Linked DNA regions of Mytilus edulis. The protein of the gene in region 3 interacts with the protein of the main gene of each other region in a biochemical or structural test. Links are inferred from orthologs where the notes say so. Each region holds a gene or a part of one and is shown on either strand. Other genes may lie near its edges.

Evidence for each region.
Region 1: the proteins of poly [ADP-ribose] polymerase 1-like (region 3) and core histone macro-H2A.1-like form a complex in vitro, tested with the Homo sapiens proteins (2 studies listed by BioGRID). The link is inferred for Mytilus edulis from reciprocal best matches to the Homo sapiens genes PARP1 and MACROH2A1.
Region 2: the proteins of poly [ADP-ribose] polymerase 1-like (region 3) and E3 ubiquitin-protein ligase RNF4-like form a complex in vitro, tested with the Homo sapiens proteins (2 studies listed by BioGRID and IntAct, with this or other methods). The link is inferred for Mytilus edulis from reciprocal best matches to the Homo sapiens genes PARP1 and RNF4.

Annotation. Positions count from the first base shown.
Region 1 is NC_092352.1:9,734,771-9,742,370, reverse strand, and holds the start of core histone macro-H2A.1-like, read right to left. Parts: upstream 3,110-7,600; 5' UTR 2,975-3,109; coding exon 2,806-2,974; intron 237-2,805; coding exon 130-236; intron 1-129. UniProt on the Homo sapiens protein: Variant histone H2A which replaces conventional H2A in a subset of nucleosomes where it represses transcription. Nucleosomes wrap and compact DNA into chromatin, limiting DNA accessibility to the cellular machineries which require DNA as a template.
Region 2 is NC_092347.1:57,598,424-57,606,375, forward strand, and holds the start of E3 ubiquitin-protein ligase RNF4-like, read right to left. Parts: upstream 3,110-7,952; 5' UTR 3,062-3,109; coding exon 2,999-3,061; intron 528-2,998; coding exon 371-527; intron 1-370. Other genes in the region: phosphatidylinositide phosphatase SAC2-like, read left to right, coding at 3,178-3,277, 7,363-7,443. UniProt on the Homo sapiens protein: E3 ubiquitin-protein ligase which binds polysumoylated chains covalently attached to proteins and mediates 'Lys-6'-, 'Lys-11'-, 'Lys-48'- and 'Lys-63'-linked polyubiquitination of those substrates and their subsequent targeting to the proteasome for degradation.
Region 3 is NC_092346.1:99,417,948-99,425,199, forward strand, and holds the start of poly [ADP-ribose] polymerase 1-like, read right to left. Parts: upstream 3,066-7,252; 5' UTR 2,937-3,065; coding exon 2,832-2,936; intron 1-2,831. UniProt on the Homo sapiens protein: Poly-ADP-ribosyltransferase that mediates poly-ADP-ribosylation of proteins and plays a key role in DNA repair.

The sequences.
Region 1 (7,600 bases), on a different chromosome or scaffold from region 3:
AGAAGTCAGTAATGTTATTGGTAAGATAGTTTTTGGTTTTGCATTCCAAATCAAAAGGCTACCATACCCTATTAATTGAATGCTAAATAATTTTACATTGTTGACTGTAAACATTAAATTGTGACATACCCTATTTAATTCTTCATCATTAGCCACTGCTAGAAGAATATGTCGAGGAGTTACGCGAGCCCTTTTATTATCTCTAGCTGCATTTCCTGCCAACTCTAATATCTCAGCTGAAAAAGTATGATAAATATGAATATTTATGGCCATAATAGATATAAATCAAATTTCTACATATTTCATAAATCAACCATATTTGAAAAATAACAGTTACATTTTACTGAAGGTTATGTAAGGACTGTCATAATGCTTTACTTGTTTTCTTACCGGCAGTAAACCAAAGGATACAAATCAGTTTTAATAGTTCTGCAACATTTCTTTTTAATTTCAGCGTCACAGGGTAGAGTAAATAATTATTAATACCACTTAAGTTATAAACTAATAAATTTAACATGTTTTAAAAACAAATGATGTTAATCCCACTTTTGTCGATTATCTTCTTTTTTGTGTAGAAATTAGTAGAAATAGCTCTTGCATGGGCAGAGATTACAGTTGGGCGAGAATGTGTCAAGGAGTTACATCATGTACATGGGGAAGTTTGAAAAGTATCATAAGATACATATATGCATACCTGCCAACCTCTGAAACCTTCAAAGAGGGAGATCTCCCCCTCAGTTATGACAGCTGAGTGGGAGATTTTTCGCGAATGACATTTTCAAGTGAAATTATGACCTGTTTATTTATTCATCTACATAATAATAGATTTATTCTCTTTCTTTAAATATGGTTATATTCTAAAAAAAGGTGTGATGTTGTTTTCTTTCCTCTTTCATCACTTTTTCTTTTTTGACATTTGAATTGCATCAGGACAGCTATCCCTTCACCTAATTAACCATAATGTCACAATTAATGCTTTTAAGTGTGATCATCCAAATTAAATCAACAAACAAACAAATGGAAGTGTTTAACGACCTTCACTGGCTATACAGCCCTCGCACGGTCGGCTCGGTGCCCAAAAGGCGATTAATGAGCTCAAAACGTGAGGGTTGGAAGGTATGTATATGTGATTACCTATAAGTGAGACAAGTTTTCATTTTCTATTAGTCAGGAATTGTATTTTGATTGGTGTTCAGAGTGGCAGGAAAGAACCACTGAACTTCTGCAGGAAAACCAATAATCCTAGTCAATTAAGATTTGGTAAGTGCACACAGGTCTGCCATATGCTGTGGTTTAAACTCACAACAAGTGTGTGATAAGTTTATTAAGCTGATTATTATTTAAATTAAATATGGAGTTAGTTTGTAGTTTTTTTTTATTGTGCCAGGTTGCAATCATTTTATCAGAATGAATTCATAATGTATATTCTATGTTGTGTTATCGTGTTTGTAGGAAGTATATATAATATTGTTCTTAATTAAATGTAGGGCAGCATTTGCATTTTATTGCAAGATAGGGCAAATTAAAGCAAAGTCAGTTGAACCTATTACATATTTCCTATAAAAAGAGCTGGAACAGTTGTCAATGAATCCTGGTAAGTTCGCCCAAAAACATGTTTGCCCCCTTTCACTTTCGCACCCTACACGTTTGCATGCAAAGTCTGTTCGTAACCTACACTTTTGCACCCTTTTTATTGGTTTTGTGTTGGACAATTTGGTAATAGAGTTTTGATAAGTGTATTGCTATATATGTTTTTTTAATTGTTTCAGTATAAACTGAGAATGTTATGTTTTTTTATGTTGAATAAATCTTAATCATATTTTGGTAAGCGTATTGCTATATATTTTTTTTCATTGTTTCAAAATAAAGTGAAATTATGACATCTTTTTTCTGTGTTGAATTTGGTAATCTCAATCATGTTTTGGTTTGTGTATTGCTATAAAAAAAAAATTCATTGTTTCAAAATAAAGTGATTTTGACGGGTTTTTTTTTGTGCTGAAAAGGGAAATTCAATCATGTTTTGGTTAGCATGGTTATAGTGTATTGCTAGTATACTTTTTTTTCATTGTTTCAAAATAAAGTTATTTTGACAACATTTTATTTTTGTGTTGAACAAATCCTAACGATATTTTGATTAATTAGTGGATTGCTATACATTTTTTTCATTGTTTCAAAATAAAGTGAGATCAAGGGGCCAAGCTGTTTATGTTTTTCATTTAAAATCTTCTTTATTTAAAATCTTCAATGTTTTACTCATACCAAGCTAAATATATGCATTACACCAAAGCAAGTTAACACAACGATCATGATTTTTTAATAATTCAACTAGAATTTGATTAAAAATAGGGTGCAAATGTGTAGGGTGCTAACAGATCTCATTATCGAATATTCGAGGTGCGAACGCGTAGGGTACGAAAGAGTATTCTGCACATATGGACCTGATACAGTTGTTTGTAGCCTGTGAGGCCAAATTGAACTGTCCCATGAATAACCATACTGACTTCACCACTTATGAGACCAAATTGGACCACAATCCTATTAATGAGTCCAAGATTTGTTTAGTTACAGCTATAATAGTCAGAAAATATTAAAGACAGTAAACCATGCTAAGTAAATTCTAAGATGCATAGTTATAAAATATTACCAAATTAATTCTATTGCTCATTTACTTTGATTATACATTTTTCTGTCATATTACGTATTATAGATTATAGGTGTTTGTAGTCATGAGGCTGTTAGGGGGCATTTGCCAGTTGAAGAATTAAAATTAATGCGTTGTCATGAAATATAAATGGTAAGCAGTACCAGTTAGATACTCTATGACTGCTGCCAAATAGACTGGAGCTCCAGAACCGATACGGAAATGATGTGTCACTCCCTTCAGGTACCGGCGCATCCTTGCAACTGGAAACAAAACACCTGCTTTCGCAGATTGCGATGTTATCTTTTTCTTCTTTGCACCGCGTGCGGACATATTTATGCTTTATGATTGACCTACAAATGCTGACATGTACAATAATATCGTGTTGACACCGTAAACTAATTTGCAAGATCAGGCGAAGCTTAGCATCGACTTGCTTATTGGTCCTAAATCCAACTTCCGGGTGGATTCTAAATTGGGACGAAAGCTCCGAACAGCAAAGACTAAAACGCGGGTGATTTAAATTTATCTTAATACCAGGGTTAAAATTGTGCACACCAGACGCGCGTTTCATATTAAAGACTCATAAAGGAACACGACTATCTAACTTCAAGGGGGAGGGTATGGGTTTTCCTAAAAAAAAACCATGATGGAAACAAAAATTCTGGTCCAGCAGGGACTTTCTATATTCAAGCCAGAGACATTTCATACACCTTATCGCTATTTGTCCGCCATTGCTGGAAATCACACAGGTTCCCGTAAAATTTTGACGTCATAAAACAAAATGTCTGACGCCACAATGGAAAAGTGATTGTTGTTGACGTCAAAAGTTCAAGCGGACGGGTCAGCCGGGAATAGCGATAAGGTGTATTTATAGACAAAAACTTAACTTTCACCACTGAACCATGAAAATGAAGTCAAGGTCAGATGAGACCTGCCAGTTGGATATGCACACCTTACAACCCATTACATACAACAAATATAGTAGACCTGATGCGTAAAGTATCTGATACGGACTTGATCACAAAAACTTCACCTTGTTCACTGCTTTATGCAATGAGGTCAAGGTCAAGTGCAAATTAACTGACGGGCACGAACACCTTGCAAGGTAAGAGGGTCTGGATGGGGGGGGGGGGGTCTGTTATTCTGTAAACATTTAATTTTTACCCCTTTTTTTCTCTAATCTTTATAAAAAATTAACCCCTTTTTTCTCTAATCTTCAAAAAATTAACCCCTTCTTTGCCCATTATTCTCTAATCTTCAAAAAATTAACCCCTTCTTTGCCCATTATTCTCTAATCTTCATTTTTTAAGGACACTATTCTTTAATCATCAGTTTAACCCCATCCAAACCCTCGATCAGGTAAGCACATACCCAAATTTCATTATCTTGTTACTCCTAATAAGAGAGAAATTATCATTACAAAAAAATCTTAACTTTTTTCAAGTAGTCACTGAACCATAAAAATCAGGTCAAGGACAATGGAAATATGACAGACGAAAACTTCACATCATAAGACATATATATCATAAGACATCTATATATAACTTTTTCATACATTTCAAATGTTATATTTCATTGTAACATAAATTGGATTTTTTCCTTTGATGTTTTTATGAAATAATTTGCTTAAAAAGTGCGGTGAGGGAAAACCATGGTATATTATATGCAAATTTATGTTGTACCATACTTTGCTAATTAAATATGCAACTCAACTAAAATCCAAAGGAAAAAAGGCGGAGCTTCAGCCATGGTATAACATATTCATTTTCATGTTATTCCATGGCTGAAGCTCCACCTTTTTTTTTTTTAATGTATCCGCCTCTAAAATATTTAGGAAACCGTAAAACGTACTAAAAGGTCAAGATCTTCATTTGTTTTCATTTTATAAGAAAAAGCAATGAATTATGTGTACCACATTTTAAGAAACCTTTTTCAAACTATAAGATTGTTACGAATTCCCTTAACTTTGGAAACAATTACTAAATGTTTCTTCTTTCAGTTTTGAAAAAAAATAAAATGTAAAACTATTATTTCCTTTGCGAAAATTCAATTAAATTTCGATATAAAAAGGAATAAATATCAGCTACAAATATCTGTGAAAAAAACATGATTTTTTTTGCAATCAATTAGGGGGACGTACACTATCTACGCCCTCTGGATCCGCCACTGTTTAAATACATTGTTTTATTATTAAAATTGTGTTTTAATAAATAATCTAATAAAATAACGGAAGAAAAACATTTTTCAATCAGATGAAAATTCTGTAAAATATGATTAATTTGTATGATACATTGAAAACAAACAAAGAAAAACAATTCTTACCGTCATTAGAATAATCATTTAATCCTTGTCGCTGGAATCCGACATTTTTGTTTACCTCAGTCATTATGAAATTACCTGCTCATACAATCATACACGGGGCGCAAAACTAAAATAAATTGGGAAAATCCGACATTTTCTTTACTTTCTGCAAATTCAGGGGCTCTATTACATAAAATACACAGACGATCATACACGAAGCGCAAAAGTGACGCGCGAGCTTCCATTTCATTGGATAAAACTGTAACGTGATCAATTTCTAATATTAGTTGAAGGTCTTGAAGCTGTCAATCATTTTATTTATATTACAAATTTTATATACCATGTGTCTTACTCATTAACATATTTAAACAAACTCATCCTTCGGATTCGTTTGTTTAAATATGTTAACTCGTAAAAACCATGGTATATATAGTACTTAACTGTAAATTTATTGTGTTCATTTCTCTCTCGCACTGAAAATCTAGACAACAGCAAAAGTAGGCGAGACACTGCATGGGTTCCATGGAATCCTTAATTATTATTTTTTTATTTGTCACTAGTTTTCATTGGAAGTTGATGATGAGCCATCATGTCCATGTCTTCCACCTTCTGAAATATTAAACGCCGCCGCTGGATCACTGTCCCTTTGTCGCAGTGATAATGCAGCTTAGGCAGCAACCATTTGAATTTCAGGGGGGGGGGGGGCTATGGATTTTTTGGAAAAAAAAGTTTGTTTCCAGTTTTTTGAGAAAAAAATAATTTGTTTTTGACCCTGAGAAAAGAAAAATGTTTGTTTCACCCTCAGCTGCCACTATATATATGTAATGCTAAAATGGAAAGAAAAAAATGTTTTCGACTTGTCGCCAAAAAAATAGATTGTTTTTCGCCGAAATCGAAAGTTTGTCAAGAAAAAAATCCATAGCCCCCAGAAAATCAAATGGTTGATGCCTTATATAAAGGTAGGTAAAAATATGTATATTTGTTGAAGGTCAAGTTGAGGATATCCAGTCACATGGAAAATATACAACTGGACTAGAAGAACCTTTATAAGAGAAGAAGGCTACAAAAACATACTATCCAATATCAGTCCTTAAAACAGCACAATTTTAAATAAAATTCGAAACCGAAAATGCAGTGGCATGTGTGTGCATGTCGAGAGTTTATATCACGTTTTTCACGATTTATTTGATTTTTTCTAGTATAGATCAGTATAAAATTTTCCAAAAATATTATCCGTTTTATTGAATAATGCCCTTTCAAAAATCCTGGATCCGACCTAGAAATCGAATTAGTGTAAAGGTGAGAGGCTGAGCTGCAGTTATGACTTTGTTTGATGATGAATTTTGTGTCGATTCCCCCCCCCCCCTATAATTGTTGGAGAGGTGAAATCAAATTTGTTGGAGTACTTTATTACGTGTTTTAGTTGCCTTTTGGATTTGATTATTTCATTCTTTTGAAATAGTTGACAAGAAAATATCATATCAGGGAAACAGAGAGATACTAAACGAAGTATAGACATTACTGTATTACCTGTTTTATATGTAGCAGAAATAAAAACGGGACTGACAAGAAATCGATGGCGCTCTCTCTATCGTTGTATTAAAACCAATATTGGTATCCACAGACACAGTATTCAGACGGATACAGATACAAAAAAATTAAGCACAAGAATTCAGACCGATCAATTTTGGAAGGTTTTAACGCAGTACGTACCAAGTGGTATTTGCAACTCCATATCCTAAGTAAAATTTTGGAAATGAAATAGCGAATTCACAACAGAAAGGTATCTTCAAAATGTGTGGTCCGCTCCAACCAGTACAGAACTGAACTGTATGCCGCAGATCTGCTGCAGGTTTGCTTCAAACAAAAGTCAATTTTAAAATTGAATTTACATCTACATGTAGTTGTATCTAATAAATGCATTTCAAATAAATCCTTCTCTTGTATATTTAAATATTCAGTATCATTTGAGCACTCAACGAATAAACAATGTCAATTCTAAAATGAATTTGTTAAAAAATAAAAAGCATTTTAATGGTTGTATTTATATAGTTATCAAAGGTACCAGGCTTATAATTTAATACTTTTTCGTCTACATTGGACACATCAGTGACGCTCAGATCAAAATAGTTACAAAGCAAAACAAGCACAAAGTTGAAGATTATTGATGAACCAAAATTCAAAAAAAGTTGTGCCAAATACGGCTACGGTTATCTATGACTGGAATAAGAAAATCCTTAGTATTTCGAATAATTCATACTATTGCAAACAGTAAATTTATGAAATGACTATAATTGATATTCATGTCAACACCGAATTGCTGACTACTGGGCTGGTGATACCAATGGGGACGAAAAGTCCACCAGTAGTGACCTGTTCAAAACTCTTTAAAACCTGCTGCAAACACTTATATGCAAATGAGTGTTGCAATAAGTCTGCAGCTAGCAATCAATTGGAGGATTAATTGTGTTCTGCAGACCTGCAGCGCATTTGCAGCAATCAAACAACAAATACATATTCTGAACAAAAGTCAATTTGAATTTTAGAATGGAATTTACATCTAGCTGTATCTAATAAATGTATTTCAAATAAATCCTTCTCTTGTATATTTAAATATTAAGATGTGTATCCGCTACCGATGATTGAAAATAACTT
Region 2 (7,952 bases), on a different chromosome or scaffold from region 3:
AATCAATCCCAACCTTCCTTACGTGGTCATAAACCTTGTGCTAAAATTTCATTGATTTCTATTCACTTTTACTAAAGTTAGAGTGCGAAAACTGAAAGTATTCGGACAACGACGACGACGACGACGCCAACGTGATAGCAATATACGACCAAAAAATTAAAATTTTTGCGGTCGTATAAAAATTTAATTGCATTTCTTCACTTAGACTTCACTTGGAAGTTGCCTATTCTCCTAAGCTATATCGTATATTAATATGCATTTCTAATTTCTCTTTTGAGGCTTCATCACTGTTGAGGATGGAACTGGATTGTTGAATTTAATTCATGTCTGTATTTTATTCAACATGTTAAAGAGAAGCAAATATTTATACCTTCAACATCAACTACTTCCTGATTTCTTTCCCTTAGAGGATTATTTCTTCTTCTTGCTCTTTGTGTTTGAACAACTATTGGTAACCTTTGACCTGACGAACTTCTAGATGTCAAACGTCTGTGTCTCCTGTGATCAGATCTCTGCATTCTAGGAAGCTGTCAATTCAAATAAAATACATTACATTATTATTAAGAAAAGATGCCCAAAGGGCACTTCTAGAATTAGATTCTAATATCATACCAACAGTACCACATTATTATGACTTGCCTTAGTGGGCTTGCTTGATATTCTTGCTGATAAAGTTAGTATCAAAAACAAAAATGCTTTTATTCTGTATACATTGTAACATGTTGCAAGATGATAAAATATATAACTGCCATGATATTAATAATAAACTGCTTAGCTGAATGCAGCTGGATACGCCTCCAGAGGTCCAACCCTGAACAGTTTAATTTGGGCAAAAAAGACACAATATTCAAGCTTGATACAGGTCTGAATTTTGATTGTAAGTACATGTAACTATTTGACATATTAATAAATGAAGTCAAAGAACTCAAATTGGTTTAAGGTTATAAATAAATAAATTGAATTTGTATCCAATTAGATTTTTTGTGGTTGCGCAATACACTGTGCTGTTGCGCAATACTTAGTAAATCAGTTCTACATCAGACTATATAATATCGTGACCAAGTCCCCTATTACAGTAGAAAATTCAATAATAAATATTTTTTTTTTTAAATCGGGAAAATTTCCCGAATTTTTTTTGTCGCGTTTATGAATTTCCAGTCTGCGCAGAAATCTACTTCCGTTTCCGGTCTTGTGACATGAGACTTTGAATAAAATGTATATTTATCAGTCTAAGAAAGTAACTAATACTAATTCATTTTAAAACAAATGTTTGTTATTAAAAAAAAGTTATCTGATGACAGCGTTTCTTTGATTACATTGAATATGACGTCATAACTTAAATAAATGTCACAACTAAAATCCCTAACAACAGAACCAAAATCGGAAACATTACGGTATCTCCGTTTCTCTTTTTAACATTGTTGATTTAAAAAAAAAAATCATAGACTTTGTCCCCATTCACAGGTAATGCCTGCCTCATATTATAAACAAACAAAGTTTCATGAAAATTGGTAAAAGCATTTCTTGAGTTATTGTCAGAAAATTGGACATTGATGGAAAATCCCTCCTTTTTCAATAAATAAAACCCCAAAAGTCGGAAACCAACAGTTAATCTGAAATTGATAAAATGAAAGCTTTTTTAAGGGAGCTCACGTCAAAAGATATAAACAAAGTTTCTTGAATATCTGTTAAAGCATTTTGGAGGTATAAATGTATGATATGTTGACGACGGACAAGCAGACGCAGTGTTCTAGGATTCCCATTACCCGTTACCCGGGGTAAGTGGATTAGGACAACGGGTAAGTCATTTTTTAGCCTTTGTCACCCGGTGGTAAGTCAATTTTCAAGTTCGGGGAAGCCGAAAAACTCTTGAAATTTCCCGGTCCTCTTCAATTTTCCCATATCTGCTTTTTATTTTTATTAAATCACGAGAAAAAACTTTGATAAAAGATCGAAGATTTTGTCGATGTCTATCGGCGCTTTTATTCAAGCACTCGTTTACTAGGTGTAATCAAGCGCAAAAGAGACCACATTCTTCTCCTATCATTCTAAAAGTCGGTCACGGTGTCGGTAAAAATCGGAAAATCCGGATTGATAACTGGTGCTTAAATCGGGACATAAACAATTTTTTTTCTTGTCATCGGAGGAAAATAAACTTACAGTTGCATTTATTATAGCTCTGAATAAATGACATAGTAATAACTATAACATATTTGTCAAATTTAGTAAGAAATCGTTTTTTTTGCGCCGTCCGCATTGGTTGGCGGATTTAACTTTTAGATGTGGGTAAGTAATTTTTTTATTGATCTTACCCGTGGTAAGTCAAGGTGCCAAAAAAATCCTAGAACACTGAGACGGTTAGCAGCATTCATTAATACTTCCTGTAAAAGGGGGCATAAAAAGAATAGACCACTTTCGAGTTCATCCGTCACCGGAAAAAACTCGTCAATTATACGCGCCTTTATGACATTTACCAGATAGAGGGGGTCGCCTGTATCCCTGCACTATTTACATGCATCAAGCGTCCTAGTGATCGTCATTATGGAGGATAAACTAGAAATAATGGTTGTTCTGTAGGTACTTAATGACAATTCCCTAATGACAGCAATGCTGATTGTCAATTTTGAGAATTCAATTTGCCGAATAATTCGTACAATATAGAATTATAGTTTTCCAACCACTCGCTCAACATTTGAATGGAAGTTACGACGCCCCTAAACGCACAAATGACGTTCACTAAAACCAGAGTTTTTGACGGAAAAGCATCGAACTCGAAAGTTGTCTATTGATACAAAATGAGAAAAAGAAAATTAGTCTGTATTTTTCACTTTCAGTTTCTTTTGACACACACCATATTTGTTTTTAAACCTCTATAGCTAGAAGAACGTCAATTCAACAATCATCAAAAAGTTAAATTTTGTAAAAAAAAATCGTGTAAACTACTTCATATATCAAAGTAAGCAATATATTTATAATGTTATCATCCATACAGACTTACACTCATATTTCTGATTTTACCGGAAGTGTTGCTCTCAAAGCTGAAGGTAAATAAAGTGTTCATTTCCTGCAACTGACATTTAGCTCGATTTTCTATCTCGTATATTATTTTTTGCCCCAAAAGTGAAAAATGAAATGAAACTTGTGGAGATAAGGTTCCTGTGATAAAGAATTGATAAAATGATACAAGTTTTTCACACTGAGGACCATTATATCTTACAGGATGGCGATTTTACGCTGTGGTGTAGTAGAACTACAGGAGATCTTGAACCAAAAAAAGGTGATTTCTAATGTTTATCCATATATGTTTATGATAAAAACATCCCAACTAGATGTGTCAATCCGACACGAATGGCCCCGTCTCAAAAAGTTGAAAGTCTGCAATTTCAATAACACATGTGCCTTTGTGGACACAAACATGATGGTAGTCTCACATATCAAAAATCAGCTAAAAAACTGGAGGCGTATAGAAAAAAAGTCTGTATGACTGTGATTTTCAACAATTTATAAAATTCCAAAGCCAGTTATTTTGGGCAAAAATTAGCCGAGCGGAACAAAAATTATGATTCTTCGAAAAGAATGACCTATCATTCTGAAAAATATAACTCCATACAGGTATTATACATTAGTACCACTGTACAGTAATTACATGTACTATGTGAGTTCGTGGTCTAGTGGTTATGACCGATGGCTACAGTGCTGAAAATATCAGCACATCAGAAGGGTAATTTTCACCCTCTCACACACATCTCTGGTACCCAGACTGGAGTTTAAACTAGAATGGGTACTTTGGGGGCCTCGGTTGGTCAAAGTTGTCCCTTACTTTGACCTGGAGATCAATCTTCTGATATCTCTCTGGTTTGTCTATTTCCACCGAGTGGCCCGGTGGTTCTCTCCGAGTACTTCGGCTTCCTCCACTATAATAACAGACTGCCCGGTGTCCTAGCACTCCCTTTGTGTTGGGTGGGGATTGATTGTCCTTGTAAAAATAATTGTCGTATAAACATACGTTAGTGACACATCTCCATTAATCCCGTTAGGGAGTGTACATGGATGCCACTGTACCCTTGCAGCTTTTGAGGGGTTCTTCGGATATCGGAGGCATTTACCAGTACATACATACATGGTGTTTACATGACATTTTTATACCCCTGCTATTAAAAAAAGGGGGGTATACTGTAACCCCTGCTTTAAAAAAAAGGGGTGTATACTGTTTTACCTCTGTCTGTCCATCCATCCATCCATCCATCCGTCAGTCCGTTCTTCCGTCAGTCCATCAATCCGTCAGTCCGTCCGTCCCATGAATATTTTTCGTCACATTATTCTCAGGAACTACAATGTATATACACTACCAGGATTTCTGAAATTTGGTTTCAGAGTTTATATATTTCAGCTATACTGTGTGATGCATTTTCAGATTCATCACACAACAACGTCCTGTTTGCCGAACACTTGTATCATTTTACACATGATAGCCAAGTTGAAAATTTTCGTTACATTTTTCTCAGGAACTATACTAAAAGGATTTCTAAAATTTGGTTTCAGGCTTGATATACAATGTAAGTCCTCTATACCGTGTGATTGCTTTTTTAGATTCATCACTTAACAACTTCCTGTTTACCGAACAAGTATCATTTTACACCTGATAGCCAAGTTGAAATTTTTCGTCACATTTTTCTCAAGAACTATACTAAAAGGATTTCTAAAATTTGGTTTCAGGCTTGATATAAGTCTGCTATACCATGTATACCATGTGATTCATTTTCAGATTCATCACTCGACAACTTCCTGTTTACCGAACACCATTATTAATATTATCCACTTGCGGCGGGGGTATCATCAGTGAGCATTAGCTTGCAGTTTCACCATGTTCACTTGTTTTCACTTTTTTTTTTTTGAAATGAAAATGTTGAGACAATATTGGAGAAAACAGTATTCATTTGATTTTAAAGTTAAAAGATTTAAAAAAAATACTCATAGTTGATCATGATTATCTAACTTGATTGAGTATCTATCTTTCAAGCTACACTGTATATACAATGCTAATAGCTGATAATTATTATCTACCTTGATTGAGTATCTATCTTTCACTCTAGACCATGTAGACAATGCGAATAGTTGATAATGATAATCTACCTTGATTGAGTATCTATCTTTCCCTCTAGACAATGCGAATAGTTGATAATGATTATCTACCTTGATTGAGTACATTTTGTATCTATCTTTCACACTAGACAATGCTAATAGTTTATAATGATTATCTACCTTGATTGAGTATCTGTCTTTCACTATAAACAATGCTAAAAGTTGATAATGATTATCTACCATGATTGAGTATCTATCTTTCATGCTAGACAATGTTAAAAGTTGATAATGATTATCTACCATGATTGAGTATCTATCTTTCACGCTAGACAATGCTAATAGTTGATAATGATTATCTACTTTGATTGAGTATCTATCTTTATATGCTTAGCATGATTAGCATTGTCTAAGACAATGCTATAATCATGCTAATTATAGTTGATAATGATTGGATTAACCAGGGTGCTGATTATCAAAAAAATATTTTAAATCATGTTTGAGCAAATGGAAAATGTGAATATTTCTTTTTGCACAACAGTTCATTTTGGGGTTCTCTTCCTGTCCATGTTTAATTATATTATCTGCATCGATTTCTTTGAAAAATCAGCGACAAGTAGTTGGATTTGAATAACTGAACCTAAATATATGGTGCTGGGTAAAAATTACTAAATAAGAACAATATACATGTATGTACATTGTTCGAAATAAAATGTATTCCAGATGTGCAATAGAGCTACTATATATATAGCTAATTAGTACATAAATGGACTTCATTCACATCTGACGAATCATGATAAGGACATTTTACCTGCACTCCTATTTCATTCTATATGAATAAATCAGAAAGAAACACTTACAAAGAATCAATGTTTAAGATAGTATTTTGTTATTATCGTCTTGCTTTTAAACAATTTAATAATAGCTGTTCTGCCTTAATTATGATGTACCAAACAGCAGTCAGACTAATAAACTGGTTCATCATTGACCTTTTAGACCATTAATGTTTAACTAGTTATATATACAAATTATGATAAGAAGTTAATCTGTTCCCAAGAAAGTATCTATTATCGAACATGTCGAATAATATTGATTCCTTGATCATCAGTCATTAAAAATTGTTGCTTTTTTCACAAAATTATTTATTTCATGTTTTTGATTTGGAAAAAAAAAAATATGTTTGAACTTGTTAAATGGCTATTTACATTAAAATAAAAACCCTACATGCTTTAGTCTTTCTGTAAATTAATCTTAATGTGTACCGTAGCTCCAATCCAGCAGATGAATTTTAAAAAAGAATATCAGTTTGACACATTATTCTAGGGAGTAATCATTTAACTTCAAATGGGGACGGGGGGGGGGGGGGGGGGGGGGGGGGTGTTCTGGTTTTATGTCAGAATCTCAACAACATTTTTTGGTCAAAGTGCGAACCTTTTTTTTTTAGTTTTTCACACATGCAATCAATTATTTTTTTTCAGAATACAAATGTATAATACTATTCAGTATGGGAAATTTGGTCATCATCTGGACCTAAATATTTTTCTTTCATCAAATTAGTGATCAGAATATTTTTTAAGGAAACAACCATCCCCACCTATCTCCCCCCCTCCCCCTTGAATTGAAATGGTGGTGTCCTTAACCCAATTGATCTGACCTTTTGCATATAACTCAAAAATGATTGTTTACAATGCTAAGGCCTATAGTTCCTCACATTATTTGTTAAGGAAAAAAATGAATGTCAAGTGATTAACCTTAATAATTGATTAGGATGTAGGCTCTATTAAGCTGCCTCATACTATAAATTCAATAGTCAGTGTCATGAAAAAATAAGTTGCAATATTTAGATGATACAATTAATCAATTGAAAATAATATTAGGTTATCTAACATATCTTTAAGAAACCAGTGTGGTTACTTCTAAATATTAAGCTGACAGATAATTGAATCGTCTAGTAGTATCATACATTTCTGACCTTTTTTATGATGGTGCATATTGATTTCTATGGCATTGACCTTTCACATCAGTTCAGTTTCAAAACAAAAACAAAATTACATTTCATTTTCAAATGTCAGAACTTATATTTTGTGATTTATTGTAAATGTAGGATGTAGTGAAGGAAACAAACAATCAAACAAACCAATATTTTATTTGCCAATCCTGGCGTATGCAGACAAAACATTGTGTCTCACAGACATATCATCTTACACATGTTTTTAAAAGACAGCAATCCAACAACAATCTTTCCCATGTATGATATATTTGTATGATATTTTATTCTTATAGGTATAGACTTATGTTCAGCATGGAATCCTGTTTGTATTGGAATGGTCTATGGGGTTATTGGAAAGGTCAAAGTTCACCCAGGTAAGATGAATTCAGTGGAAGATCCAGAAATTTTCATAAGGGGGTGCCCACTGACTGCCTAAGAGAGTGCCCGCTCCTATCATGCTTCAGTGATTCTCTACATAATCAGCCAAATTTTTCCACACATCCAGGAAAACCCTCTAAATCTGCCCCTGGAACAAGGCAATACAAACTGGTGAACTAGGATCTTAGGATGGCATCACATGCTCATTATAGAATAATTATACATTTATATTAATAAATAGATATGGAAGATGTGGTATGAGTGCCAATGAGACAACTCTCCATCCAAATAACAATTTATAAAAGTAAACCATTATAGGTCAAGGTACGGCCTTCAACACAGAGTATTGGCTCACACAGAACAACAAGCTATAAAGGGCCCCAAAATTATTTGTGTAAAACCATTTAAATGGGAAAACCAACGGTCTGATCTATATAAAAAAAAAGATAAACGAGAATCACGAATAAATTGCATAAACAAACGACAAGTACTGTACATCAGATAA
Region 3 (7,252 bases):
GTTAAAACAAGTTTAATTCACTTAAAAAACAATTTAGAAACTTGTGTATGTTTAAACAGGAAGTTTAAAAAGCATGTGTAAAAGAAGAAATTAACCGGTGAGAGTCAAAATCTGTACATGACAGATATCAATATAATACGACTTTGAAAGTTAAACACTTCCATCCTTTTGTAAAACAGTCTTAAATATACCTATCACATTAATGTTTGAAGGGTCTTAAGCAAATACAAACCATATTAGTCAGTATGAAACACCAAAACGGAATGAACAATAACCGATTACATTTTGTAGTTTACAAATTCTAAGTTGGTTTACGGTTGTCTTTTTTACTATGTTTATATCATTTCAATCAAGCAGATACCAGTTTATTTCAACCAATGCATTGAAAAGAAACGAGAAATTTGTATTGAACGGTTTAGTTTTTATATTTATCAGTATTAATTTGATATTGAATAGAAAGAACTTATTAATAAGGGCGTGTTAAAATTATTAGTTTGAAAAATGATGAGAGCGCCCTCTACAATATCAATAACAAAGATGGCGGAACGTAAACAAACCACCTTGCCGCAAAATTGAACTTTATCTCTTATTTCTTGCTTATTGTACTCTATAGACCGCACCCCTCTGGAAGGTCCAATTTTGGAGAATAAAGTATGTAAACTGGTTCCCGTCTGACTTCTACACTTTGTTCGAGTGTAGCGTAATACAAGCAGATTCCAGTTAGTATGTAAAATAGTAAATATGAAACCGAGTGCTGTAGGCGGAAATATAATCAACTTCCTTTAGTTCTGGTCAATTGTATCGGAAACATGCTGCTGATAGCGTCATTTTCCAAAATATTAAAACCGGGAAAATTTAAAGTCGGTCAGGAGAATTTTCAAATTATATGTTCCAAGAAAATTTTAAATTGCTATCATTTTAATTATTATGAATAATATTTTTTATTCAAATCAGTTGTAACTAGTAAAGCAAACGCTAAACGGTGCGGACTGCAGGTTCATCATGTCCATTATAAATGACTACCTGATAAGAACGGCTGATTTAATTCTTGTGCTTCTATTTTTCCGATTTTTATTTCACGTGTTTCCGTGTTCAGGGCCCCTCTTTACCACCCTCATAGGTCAGAGGAAGATATAAGTGATGATTTTTTTAACATCTATTGTTTATAAACAATACACCTTATCGCTAATCCCGGCTGACCCGGCTGCTTGAACTTTCAGTGTTCCAGCTAGGTTTTCAAAAGGGCAGGGTGCCAATCCTGAAAAAGGGCATTTAACGCGCGAAAAGATAATATGAAAAGGGCATATTTTAATAAAAGATGTTAATCAAACATTTGTGTTTATTCGTTGAATCACAGGTTATACAAGAACAACATCTTTAGCCCATATAGAACTCTATCTTTCTACTTTTAAGGCTGAAAAACTTGTCAAGCAGCTTGTCACACAAGTTTTTTTTTATCATTGCTTGGCACAGTTGAACTTTATATGCAGTATGTTTTGAAAGGAGATCTGTTTCATACTGTTTCTATGGTCTACCACATTTTACCAGTTTCACCTTCAGTCTACCCCTGCTGTGCTTGATGGCAATACAGCACAAAACAGCTGTGCTCAGTAAATTCACAATTTTAGGATATAAAGCAACAGTGAAAAATAGTATCAAAAATAAAGAATACAGAAAAAGATGACCAAGGCACCCTACCAACACTGCTACTAAGACCCTCTTTAACTTTTCCCATAACTCAAAATAAATACCTAAACATATATATTAAGCAAGAAGTATGGAGACACATTTTAGAATATGTAAATGGGTTACTCAATGCTAAGAAAAAAATCAGATTGAGTTATCTTTCTTTATTCGGGTGTGCTCCTTCTTTGGAGGATTATAAACAGTACGTAAATATGATGTAAATATGATCACAATATGGCCGCCGATTTTGTTATTTTCGTATCAAAAATGAAGGCAGTCAATGACAAATACGTCTGAATTTTCTGTTTATTTTACAGAAAACAAATAAAACAATGTCTTCAACGAGTTAATAATGGTTTTCCAACTTTCTGTCATTACGTTTCTTCCATGAAACTACGGTAAACATCGCAAATTGTGCCCAAGTTGTTGTATGCACATTTCTTCAAAGATAATTGCCGACTGACCGATTCTATTTGAACGAATTAATGTTGATGATCATTAATGACCCATCCGATAAACGGATTACCTATAACAACAGATTATGACACCAGTTGTAACCATTGATTAGCTTGGGTGGTAAACAAAGTCATAATCTTTTCCCCAGGTAAAATTTAGTAATTAGCGTATCATATCAATACGCAAATTAATATGCAATCGATCTTCAAAAAAGGCAGGGCGCCCTGGAAACTGTAAAAAGGGCACAGGGCGCCACTCGGAAAGGGGCGGGCGCCGCGCCCTCTGAAAACGGCCTAGCTGGAACACTGACTTTTGATGCATAAGGTGTATAAAACTTAAATTGCACAATACCCTATAGTTTAGTAAATGGAACATTTTTTCAAAAGAACCTTATCTTCTATTTTGGTAAAAGAATTAGTAGTCCAGAAAATTGTTAACTTTTCGTTTACTTGTAACATCTCCGTAAATCGGAAGACTAAAGGAATTTATGCACAATTGACGACTTGTACATGTTTGTAGTTTCAAGTTAAAAAAAAGTAATTCAACAAATTAGTTTATAGCAGTGACAAGTGTCTCTTATTTGATGAAAAGTTTAAAAGATGTGTACATCGTTTGTTCTCTGGGTGGATCAGCCAGGGTAAATTCTGCCAATTTCTGGGTGTAAACAAATATATATTTATCAGTTATACCTGAACCATTAATGCAAGTCTCAAAGACTCCTGACCGATTGTTGCTTTGCAGCCTTTGCATGACGCTCTCCCACTTTTTGCATATTCTGCTTTGAAATCGCTCATTCTTACAGCATTTGTTTACACTTTCCCACACGTTTTGCTTTTTGCTGAGCGTTGCATTAAAAAAATAACTAAAAACCGCAAAGCACTTCATAAGTTCGATTAAAATATAAACTGCATATGACACTCTCTGGTAATCTTTAATATCACTGTAAGATGAAAATGATAATTTTAGAAAAAGTATATATTCAAAAGGGAAAATGGTATGCCTTCTATTCATTAACAACCTTATTTATGTTTGTTATTTTTGTATTCTGTATTCTGTTTTTGGTTTTCAACTATACACAGCTTTCCCGCCAAAAAAAATAAATCTTAAAAACTTACCGGTTTTGGAAAGGAAAGAAAAACGGGTCTTCTTTTTTTTTATAATTATTTTATTTTTGAAGATGAAACATGTGAAATTACATAATACAGTATTAGACACAAGTATAAAAAGTTAAATAACACTTGTAAGGTCAATTAAATCATAATGGTATAATAAGATATAAATATTACAATTGATTTTGTTAATTTAATGCTGCTTCTAACAATTGCCACTTCTGATCCAATTTTATTTTTTGTGTAGGGGTTAAGAAACATACAGAGTATTTTTCTATTTTGATCCAATACTTTAGATATTCTATCCCACCATATTTTGTGGGCAATACGCTCTTACATCTACATTTGTATATATAGTATTTAAGTAACAACAAAATATTATTAACTGTTTTACTGTTGACAAAATCCTCAGACACACCTAAAATGACCTCTTTTGCACTAAAAGGCAAGAAGATGTCATAATTTCTAATCCAATCTATAATGGAAAACCAGAAGTTTTTTGTTACATTACATTCCCAAAAAATGTGAAAAATATTTTCTCTAACTTCTGAACAAAATGTACAAAGTTCAGTTTCTTTTAATTTACATTTATATAAAAAGTAATTACATGGTAAAATTCTATGAACAATCTTAAATTGAAAATTTTGTAAAAACGAATTTCTTGTTATAATGAAGGGCATGGAATAAATAGCATTCCAATCTTCAATCTGTATATTTAAGTCTATTTCCCATTTGTTACGGGAAGATAGTGATAATACTTTATTATCCTCCAGAAATAAATTATAGAAAAATTTACAAGATTTTGGTTCTTTTTTAACTTTATCTACTAATTTATTTTCAATATTATCAAGTCTAGAACTACCTTCTATCCTACTTTAATTTCCATCTATTTGGAATAGCACTTAAAATACCATAAAACTCTACAAAATTAGTCTTGGTATTATACTTTTAAGCTTACCGGTTTTGGAAAGGAAAGAAAAACGGGTCTTCTTACTATATATCTTACTCCAAATATAGTCGTGTCTATAGTCGTGCCATTTAATAGCTCCGTTTTCTGATCTGACTTGTGTCGTGAGATGTTTGGACTTTGTTATACTAAGTTTACATTTAAAAAGAATAACGTATGAACTAAGAAATTCGGTAATAAGGGTATATGTAAAGCTAAATACTGTCCGTATGAAATATTGTCCACCAGGAGTGACTATATTCATTGGGACTTCAGTCATAACTATGTATCTAAAACATAGATGTATTTATCATGTAATACCCATCTATGGTATCATGAAATATTTTCCTCATTTATGAAATTATCTCCAGAGAAGGACATATCTTCATCATTGTGAAATTCTGTCTGTTTAAAGACAATATTTCACAGATGAATGATTTGTAAAATGAGACTATATTTTACAGTCAGATTGTCATGGACTGAATTTTGTCTCATGAAGGACGGGAAATGAAATACAAGTATTGGAAAACGATATTCCAATTATTCTTCTACCTCCAAAACGCATACAAAATATCCGTCAATCTAGTTTATAGAAATACTAGATGTATATTCAATTTTAGATTTTTAGAACATAGTCATTACTTACGGGGCGCTGAACGGGAGTCTTGTGGTTTTGTTCAAAATTCAATTCTGTCATGACAAAATCATTTTTGTCTTACAAAACTATGTGATACAGACTTGTTTTATGAGAACTTCAATTTTGTGATGACAAAATTCATTTTTGTAAACAAAATTCATTTTTGTAAACAAAATTCATTTTTGTAGACAAAAATCATTACAATAATCATTTTTGTCATGACAAAAATTAAATTTTGTCAAATAGGTATGCAAATATAAACTTATTTACATACAAAATTTACTTTTGTGACAAAAATGAATTTACAAAATTATTTTTGTGTAGACAAAATTGACTTTTGTGACACACTGAACATGGACTTTTGTGACAAAAATGACTTTTGTGACAAAATTGACTTTTGTGACACAAAAATTGACTCTTGTGGCACAACATTGAATTTTGTAACTTAATATCAGTTGTGTATGCAAATTCGTTCACAGAATCCAAACTAAACTAATTTGCATACAAAATTGACTTTTGTCGCCCAATTTTCAAATTAGGTAGTCTGTGTTACAAAAATGAATTTTGTCATGACAAAAGTAACTTTTGGCCACTGAAAGATAATTTTGTATGACAAAATTTTAAATTTGTAGTATGCTACAAATTTTGTTAAACTGAACTCATTTTTGTTTAACAAAACTCACTTTTGTCTGTACAAAATTGAATTTCGAGTACAAAACCACATGCAAGAGTCCCATTCGGCGCCCGTATTACTTATATCTATACAGTATAATTTTGTACAATGGAACATATGTGTCTTTGGTAAATCTGAACGCAAATATAGTTGCTGCAACTCAATAACAGCCTTTGTATCTAATGAGAAATGTAAATATGCTTAATAGATATACTTCCTACAGCGGTGTGGTGAGATGATTGAGGCTGTTAATTTTCTCCTTGAATATATTCGTGTACGGTTCGGCAATAAAGTTAATCGACAGGCTGCATGTATTCATATGGGCACCAATTACGTCCCTTTAATAGCAGAATTATTCTTGTACTTTTATGAATAACAGTTTATGAGTAAAGACCTGTCTAAATTGCATTTAATTTATATATTCAAAAACACTTACCGTTATCAGATCTTATTTTGATGCTATTTTTTGTTAAATAATCAAGAATTTTCTAAATATACTGTCAACTTTTACCATAAGGAACTTACTTTAAATTCATAATATAAAAACTATAACTGTCCTTTCTTAGAGTAACGATATTTCAGTTTTACATGGGAAACTAGTCAATTTAAAATTTATGACAAAAGGGACAATTTTTCAATCCCTATTGTTAATTTTCCACTTTTGTTTGGACGTTGGTGTCCCTTTCACCATTTACGGTGTTTATATATCGCAACTCGTTTACTATGTCCGTGTCTGTCGTGACGTTTTTGACTTCAATGAACGTACACTAGTCTAGTCGGGGGTTTCGTAACCACAAATCACTTAAAACCTTTAATAAATTCTTCCACAGAAAGATATGGTTTTGAAGTTTAGTTGCGCATGTAGAAACTTGTTAAACATTTTGTGGGATGTTGTTTACCGAAATAGAAAATTTAGAAACGATCCGGATAAACCTATCGATCATTTCAAATAGATTCATTCAAAAAGGTTACCAATGCAACACTGACTGTACTTGAATCTTTGATTGTTGTTTTTATTGGTATTACTATTGATTTTGTATTCAATAAATTAATTAAAATCAGACTAAATATCACTTTTATATACATACCGTGATATGCACATTTATGACTCAACAATCTGTCGATACCTGTATATTGGCATTGCGCAAGGTCATGTTTTTTTCAATAACTGTTAATGACGTCTTTATACTAAATCCGTTGGACGTTGGATCTGTATTGATATCTTCATCTTAGATGCATGATTTTTTCATTAATTGATATTTGCTTTGAACTAGCTGTTAACCACTACGACTACTTTTTTTTTTTTGGGGGGGGGGGGGGGGTGAGGGGCGATGTGTTAATACCCTGTCAGGTCCACTATGTGTTTTCGTTAGATGTATTTCTATTTGTATCCATCTGATGAGTTCAAAAGACCTTTTCTAACTGATTTTTTTTTCTTATGTTGTACTGTTACATAACTTCCCGGGTTAGGGGTGGGTTAGTGCCGTCAGACTAGTTTAAGCTCACAACATTCTATATTATATGTGCCCTCTCCCAAGTCAGGTGCATGTTAATAAGTGGTTGTCGCTTTTTTGCATGTTATTGAGTGGTTGTCGCTTTTTTCTGTTTCTCATTTTTGTTTTTCGTTTATTGTTTTGTATAGTTTGTTCTTAAGTTGTACTGTCCCAGGATATGGGAGGGTTTGGCGCGAACAAACTAGTTTAACACCGCCACATTCGGTATGTGCCTTTCCCCAAGTCAGGAGT